2 linked regions of the Tribolium castaneum genome follow. The protein of the gene in region 1 purifies or fractionates together with the protein of each later gene. This does not show direct contact. Links are inferred from orthologs where the notes say so. Each region holds a gene or a part of one and is shown in the gene's direction. Other genes may lie near its edges.

Region 1 (3,119 bases):
TAAATATGATCTGAAGCACCAAAAACGTAACCTTGAAGAGTTATATCTCGTGATAGAAGGCTCATAGGAACTTTTAATTCAGTTTGCTTCCTTTATCAGCTTCCGGGAGATTGTTCATCACTTTTGAATCACTCTGTGTAATAAGGAAGATATTTTTTTAGATTAAATTTCGCTAAAATGTCAACTTTTGATTAACTTTGTTGTTGTCGAAAGCAAATGATATAGCGGGATGTGGGTTTTGACCATAATTATTTTCTCGAATAACGAGCTTAAGAATGTGTTATTCGTTTTTTAAAGCCTTTTAGTTTTAACGATTTTTTATTTGAAAACCTAAAATGCACCTGTTCATCTTAGTAATAATAGTTGTTATTTTTTTATAATTGTCGTTATTCTCTATACATTAAACAATGTATTTTTATCAAAACAATCAATTTTCGGACCTTGTATACAACAAATGGCTCCTAGTGGTTTTTTATTTTTTAAATCATACTAACTGTTTCAAGACTATTGAAGTGCTAACGTCGCATTTTGTCTAAAAATTATTTGTTATGTTATTCATGCGCTTCAAAAAATTATTAGCTGATGTAATTTATTATTTCAACTATTTTACATTTTTGTAAACGTTATTTAGAAAAATAATTCGGTAAAGGGCGTCGTTGGCATTTTGAAACGCTAATTAGTCCATAATGAAATTTTAGGAAAACTGTTACACAAACTTGACAATAAGGCTTATTCCAAATCTGCGGCCTATTTTATAAAACTTTTTACAAGTGATTTACTTGTCACTTGTAAAAATCAACTTGTAGTTTTTATGAAACGGGCCCCTGGTGGCGAACTGACATTGCCAAAAATGACTGAATTTTAGCATTGAAGATAGATATGTTTAATTAAAAAAAAAATGCCCACAGGCGTCACAATAAAAAGATAAGAATATTGAACAATATAATAATAGTAATATTTCTATGTATCTTCGTCCTCAAAATTTATGTTAAAGTAAATAAGTAAATTTTAGAGAAAAAAATGCACCCCCTTTATTTCATTCTTTTAATGAAGTGGGTGCATTTCAAGAGTTTTTTTTTATATCACTGCCAGTTCGCCACCAGATATGGAACAACCTTTACCCAGAACAATGCAATTGTGGATTAAATTTGTTTTTTTTTTTGACAATTTAGTGGTCAACTGGAACCAGTATTATCCTAGTATTACTAGTTGCATCAAAAAATCTTCAGAAATAAGCCACAATTGACTCGCAATGTATATTTACACTTAATTTTGAGTTTCGCAAATAAATTTTTTTTGGTAATTTTTAGATAGGCAACACACTATACGGACTGCCTATCAACGGATCATCTAATTTTTTACTTTCCTTATTTAAAGCCGTTCCTTATTATATTATTGTATCGTTTTCCAGAGATTGGAACACGGTAAACTTGCTAAGTTTTTTTTTGAATTTGAAATTTTTTACACTAAACCAGAGCTGCCAATCTAGACCAACTGGTGGCAGGCTATGGTGGCAGGACTACATGTCAAATAGTTGATTTTGTTGTGGTTAAAATAAAAGGTGTTGCGTTTTCATTTTTTGTAATATTAAACTACAAATATCGAAATGGAGTGCATTGTGGCCAACGTGGACCACATAAAATTCGACATTGAAGTGGCTCTAGATGAGCAATTCGGCGCTTTGCCCTTACCATTTCCCGGAATGGACAGTAAGTGAGGTTATGTCGAAAATATAATTTTCTCGTTTTTTGCTTTCAGAATCAATTGCAGCCGTTTGTCAGTTTTACACTTCAATACAAGGCTGTCAAAAGGGCCCCCAATGTCCGTTTCGTCACGTGCGAGGCGACCGAACCATTGTGTGCAAACACTGGCTGAGAGGTCTTTGCAAGAAAGGCGACCAGTGCGAGTTTTTACACGAGTATGACATGACAAAAATGCCCGAGTGTTACTTCTATTCGAGATTTAACGCTTGTCACAATAAAGAGTGTCCGTTTTTACACATAGACCCTGAGAGTAAAATCAAGGATTGTCCTTGGTATGACCGTGGGTTTTGTCGACATGGGCCCCACTGTCGTCACAGACACGTGCGCAGGGTTTTGTGTACGAATTACTTGGCAGGCTTTTGCCCCGAAGGGCCAAACTGCAAGTATATGCACCCAAGGTTTGAGTTGCCTGCGCCCCCTGATCAGGTGCAGAAGGACAAGAAAGCCACTCCTGTTATTATTTGTCACTTTTGTAACGAACATGGACACAAGGCGATACATTGTAATAAGATGAATAGTGATAACAGAGACGCCTTAAATGACGAGAATCGAAAACAGAATGATCATTATGAGCCTCAGAACTCTTATTTGCAGAAAATGTTGCCTAAGAAGCTGGAAGATGTTACTTGTTACAAGTGTGGTACAAAGGGACACTACGCAAATCGGTGCCCTAAAGGGCACTTGGCGTTTTTGTCACAGGCCAAGAGCAATCAGGATGGACAAGGTGATCAATAAGAGTGGTGATCGTTTTTAAATAATATTTAAAGTTATTCAAACTATTGTATTTATTCTATAGGAAAATAAACAACAATTTTTACGAGTAGATTTATTTCGCCTTTTTCCAAAAATTAATCTAATTATTTTTCTTAGGTTACAGGCGTAGTTTTTTAGGTACATTATACCATTGTTTGTGAGGTGAGATAAAGCTGTTAGAGTTGTTCTCACAAGTGAGTAAATCTAGAGAAAATTGGAGAAAACAATGAGTCTGTTCATTTCATCACTACGAAAACTGATGCTAATGTTACAGGCGGATATTTACTTGAATTTTTTGGATTTTTTTCTAATGCACGTGTAAGATAAAACGTCGTATATCACACGTGATCGAAATACCGTTTTAAAGCTCGTGGGACACTCCCACTCGAGCACAAGCGCACTCGTGTGTCAAATTCTCACTTACATATAATGATCCATTTCTATCTCTTATAATATAATATACTATTATCTTACAGGAGCAGTTTTTTAGGTACATTATACCATTAAACTTGGTGAGAGAAATGAAATTTCTCTCATTGAACATTTTCTCGTCCTCAGAGTAGATTAACTGTCCTAAAGTTTTATTTAAAGCGTTATAAAACA
Region 2 (4,376 bases), on another chromosome or scaffold:
TCTTTGATTTTCTTCAATCAATTTCTTATGTTCTTTGGAAATTCTCTCAAACTCGCCAAGTTCTTTACTTTTCTCGTCGTCGGTTTTATGTGCCTCAAGTTGTTTCAGATATTTTGCATTACTTTCTTTCAAACCTTCAATTTCCTTGTGATATTCAGAGTTCTGTACTTTGATATCACTAATTTCTTGGCACAACTTTTTTGAAGCTACACCCAACTGTTCTTTCCATTCTTCCACTTGATGTGAGTACGTTTTGAGCAAACGCAAAACCTCGTTTTTATTTTCCTTCAAAACCTTCACATTACCGGCCAGTTTTACAACTTTTGAGTGATAAAATTTCAGTCTCCCTTTAAGTTTCTCAACCAACTCCACATTTTCTCTTGTTTCATTTTTGATTTTTTCTAAATCCTCGACCAATTTCAATTTTTCCTGCAACTCTTGGCCTATCGTTAAAATGTTCTTATCCTTCTCCCCCAGATTCGTCTTGAGCACGTCAATTTTCTCCCTCATTGTGTTATTCTCAGCTTGCAACTTCTTAACTTCCTCTAAACTAATACTAAGCATCTTCTGCAACTCTGCAGACTTATCACTTGTGTCATCACTCCGTAACTTTTGATTCGCCTCTTCCAACATCAGCAGCTGATTTTGCTGTTCAAGTCCCAGGTTTTTGCACTCTTCGAGTTGCTTTTCCAGAGACTCCAGATGCGTAATCAGCTGCTCATTTTCATCCGTCAAACGCTTGATTTGCCTTTTATACGAAATATTCTCGCTTTCAAGCCTATCCTTCTCCTCACACAGACGTGCGTCTTGCGTGCAGTTTTGCACTTTATTCACCAAAGCGGCATTTTGGCTCTTCAAGTCTTCAATCGTGGTAACAAACTGCAACTTCTGTTGGGTCAAATTTTCGATAATTGCAGTTGTGGCATCTCCAGATTCCGATTTTAGCCTATTTTTCAGCTCGTTATTTTCCTCCTGGAGCGCGTCCTTCGCCTGTTTGGCCTTCTGGGCGAGAATCAAAAGCCGTTCGCACCGTTTAACCAATTCCTCTTTCGATAAATTCTCCAAAACGATTTTCTTGCCACTTTCGGATGGCGTATTCGATTCCATCTCGATAGTTACTTAATCTATTGTATTGTAATTTCCAAGTAATTAGCAATTACATTGTATTTTAATAATTTTTTATTATTTTGACACATCAATAGTATTTTGACAGCAAAAGTCGCCAACAAAAAGCGGAAAAGTTACTGTTTTTTGGTAACATGTTCACGTCACTTCTGCCATAACCTCAATCTTTGGCTTTCCAAAAATGGATGATTGGCTCTCATTTTCAATTAATTTAACGCTTTAGATAAAACTAGCTTTGTTTTCGAAATTTCGTTGCTTTAGTGGCAACAATTGCGTCATTTTTGGTTGTAAAATCCTCTCGACATGGATTTTACCATGAACGAAGTTTCCGACGAGGATTTAGTAAAAAACCGAGATTTAGTTGATTTCGGTAGTAAAGAGACGCGTTTTAGGTGACCCAATGGATAAATAGCGCTGCAGTGTCCCGCTCTGCTGCAGAAAAGCTTGAATACTTCCACAAATTGCAAGAAGTTTTGATTCGGAAGTCGCCCCATTTGCTGCCAAAGTTTTTACAAAACATGCTTAATTTCACGACTGATAGGAATGGGGACGTGAAAAAAGCGCTAGTGGGTTTTATTGAAGAGTTATGGTAGGTTTTATGCATTTTAATTGGTTACTTAACTTTTGTTTTAGCAAAATGCGCGAGTCTCTTTTACCTAAAGTAATGCTAAACCTTCATATGCTACTATGTGATGAGTCAATAGCGGTGCAAAAGCGCGTAATTCAAGCTTTAATCAGTATTTATCGCAAAACGTTGGCCTGGTTATGCAAGGCTTCTGTAATTACAGAAGAAATGGAAAACGCCTGGAAGCAATTGTCTGCCATAAAATTAGAAATTGCAAATATGATTGATAGTGACAATGACGGCATTAGGACTAGTTCAGTGAAATTTTTAGAATGTGTTGTGTTGTTGCAAACTTATCCCGACCAGGAAGAGAACAAGAAACCGAACGACTTCTCACTCGATGATGTTCCTCTGACGTTAAAATTGGCGCGGAGGCGAAAACTAGAAGAGGAAGCAAAGTATTTATTTTTTTTTAAATTCGCAAATTTCTAATTGAATTTTTTAGTACCTTGTTTGAGTTACTTTTAAAATTTTTTGGCTCTCCCCATATTAGCAGTGCCAACTTGTTAACCTGCCTGGGCGTTGTTACAAACATTGCAAAAAATCGGGCCGAATTTATGTCTCGAGTTGTCTCAGCTATTGAATCACTTTACAATAACCTACCTCCAACTCTAACAACAACTCAAGTGAATTCCGTGCGTAAAAAATTAAAATCCGAACTCGCTGGACTTATCAAACACCCAGCGGCTTACGAATTTGTGGAGAAATTAACCCCAATGCTCACCGATTTAGGTGCGTTTTATTTTTACGCAAAAAAATTTTTTAGGATTTTTTTCTCAGGTTATTCCCAGCAAGACATTCTTAAAATGGTACCGAAACCCGACGAGCGGCGGAAATATTGCAAGAGGACTCTCTCAGTTGAGTCCCTTCAGATCTACAATAAAAGACCTAGACTTGATCCTCAAATTGAATTCGATAACGACACCAATGACAGTGATTCGCAAACACTGCAAGAGTTGAATGAGAACTTTGTGTCTGAAAATTTCACGTTGGAAAGAGCGGTTCAAATGGTTTTCGCTTCTATGAGTAAACTGCCGGCTACAATGTCTCCCGATTTTGCGAAAGAGTATGGCAAATATGTCGATAGTGGAAAAGTTGGCCAATTTGATGTTTTGACAAAACTTATTGCCACGTATTTGACTGAGGCCGGGGTTTCGCCGTCTTCGAAAAGTTTTGCAAAAAAGGTCGAGGAATTTAGACAGCAGGAGAAGGAGGAAGAGGACAAGGAAGAGAAGGAAAAGGTAAGAAAACAATTTTTGCACACAAATAATATAATAATAAGTAAAACAGAAACAGTAATTTGCAATTCAGATTTCACATTTTCAGCTGTATTTAAGAAAAGATAAGATGTAATTCATTGTACCAAATATTTGTCTATTTATTTATTTATTTATTTATGTATTTATCTTTATCTGTTAGCTTATGTTGGTTCGGATGATTTGAGAAGTTATGTATCACGCATCCTGTATTTTTTTTAAGTTATGTTTTGATAACTTATCGTAATTGTGAGGTCAAAGAAATTTTAGTAATTATTCTTAAAAAAAAATATAATGAAGCCTCTATTTGTTTTACAACATGTTTTACACATTTGGTAGCTCCTGAAGAAGGAACGAGCAAAAGTTCCCCGAATCAAGACACTGAAACTGTCCGAAATCACCAAACCTATCGAGAAAGAAACAAAGGAGAAATTGTTAATAGGGTCCATAAACCGACTTTTAACCGCGGACAAAACAGCCGCAAAATGCTTGTACCAAAAACTAATCACCACAATCGCAGCCTGCTTTAGCCCCACTGTCAGACAAACAGTGTTGGCGTTTCTCCTATCAGACTTACGGTCTCACATAGACCTGGCCCTGGCGTGGCTTTTTGAAGAGTACGGAATACTGCAGGGCTTCTCAAGAGTGCCCCCTTTACGCAAAGACACCAAACTGGACAAAAGCTACAACATCTTGCTTTGCACATTTATAAACGCTTGTATGCACGACTCAGCAGTGCTCTGTCGATTGTTTTTGGAAGCGCCTTTAATAACAGACGAGGCTTTGGATAAGCTCCACCAGTTGTGCCGAGACGAGAAGAAATGCACAGCAGCTTTGGGGTTGTTGCACGATTTGACGGTCCGGAAGCCCCCCAAACAGTTGATGTTCCTCAACGCCCTCCTCTCGTACACGACGTACGAATTGAGCGTGGTAAGAGAGTGTGCCATTGGACACGTTTTGGAGTTGCACAAGAAGGTGGAGTTGAGGTTGGTGATTGAGGAGTTTGCACGAATGAATTTGGAGTTTTTGAAGTTGCAAAGGCCGCCGGAGAGTTTGTGTGGGTTTAGTCAAGGGAGGTTGAAGAGCGAGACTTGGGGCGATGATTTTATAAAAGCTTGTCTTATTCCGTATATTTCGCTATTGCCAGCCAATGAGAGTCTTATTCATGACTTGGCTAAGGTTTACGTACAGACGGGGGCCAACATTAAACGGATTATTCTACGTCTGCTTGAAACCCCGATCAGATCAATGGGGATGGACTCACCTGAGCTTCTAAAACTGGTGGAGGAGTGTCCCAAAGGCTCGGAAACTTTGGTCACGCGTGTTATACACGTTTTGACGGACAAGGGCCCCCCGAGTGCACAGTTGGT

Evidence for each region.
Region 2: the proteins of Cpsf4 (region 1) and Sym purify together in Homo sapiens (affinity purification with mass spectrometry; 4 studies listed by BioGRID and IntAct, counting the BioPlex papers as one, with this or other methods). This does not show direct contact. The link is inferred for Tribolium castaneum from reciprocal best matches to the Homo sapiens genes CPSF4 and SYMPK.

Annotation. Positions count from the first base shown.
Region 1 is NC_087394.1:10,089,833-10,092,951, reverse strand, and holds Cpsf4 (cleavage and polyadenylation specific factor 4, 30kDa), read left to right. Parts: upstream 1-1,548; 5' UTR 1,549-1,606; coding exon 1,607-1,709; intron 1,710-1,758; coding exon 1,759-2,498; 3' UTR 2,499-2,580; downstream 2,581-3,119. UniProt on the Homo sapiens protein: Component of the cleavage and polyadenylation specificity factor (CPSF) complex that play a key role in pre-mRNA 3'-end formation, recognizing the AAUAAA signal sequence and interacting with poly(A) polymerase and other factors to bring about cleavage and poly(A) addition.
Region 2 is NC_087398.1:8,156,135-8,160,510, forward strand, and holds the start of Sym (symplekin), read left to right. Parts: upstream 1-1,280; 5' UTR 1,281-1,428; coding exon 1,429-1,467; intron 1,468-1,517; coding exon 1,518-1,714; intron 1,715-1,758; coding exon 1,759-2,148; intron 2,149-2,195; coding exon 2,196-2,482; intron 2,483-2,530; coding exon 2,531-2,991; intron 2,992-3,345; coding exon 3,346-4,376. Other genes in the region: GRIP and coiled-coil domain-containing protein 2-like, read right to left, coding at 1-1,107. UniProt on the Homo sapiens protein: Scaffold protein that functions as a component of a multimolecular complex involved in histone mRNA 3'-end processing. Specific component of the tight junction (TJ) plaque, but might not be an exclusively junctional component. May have a house-keeping rule.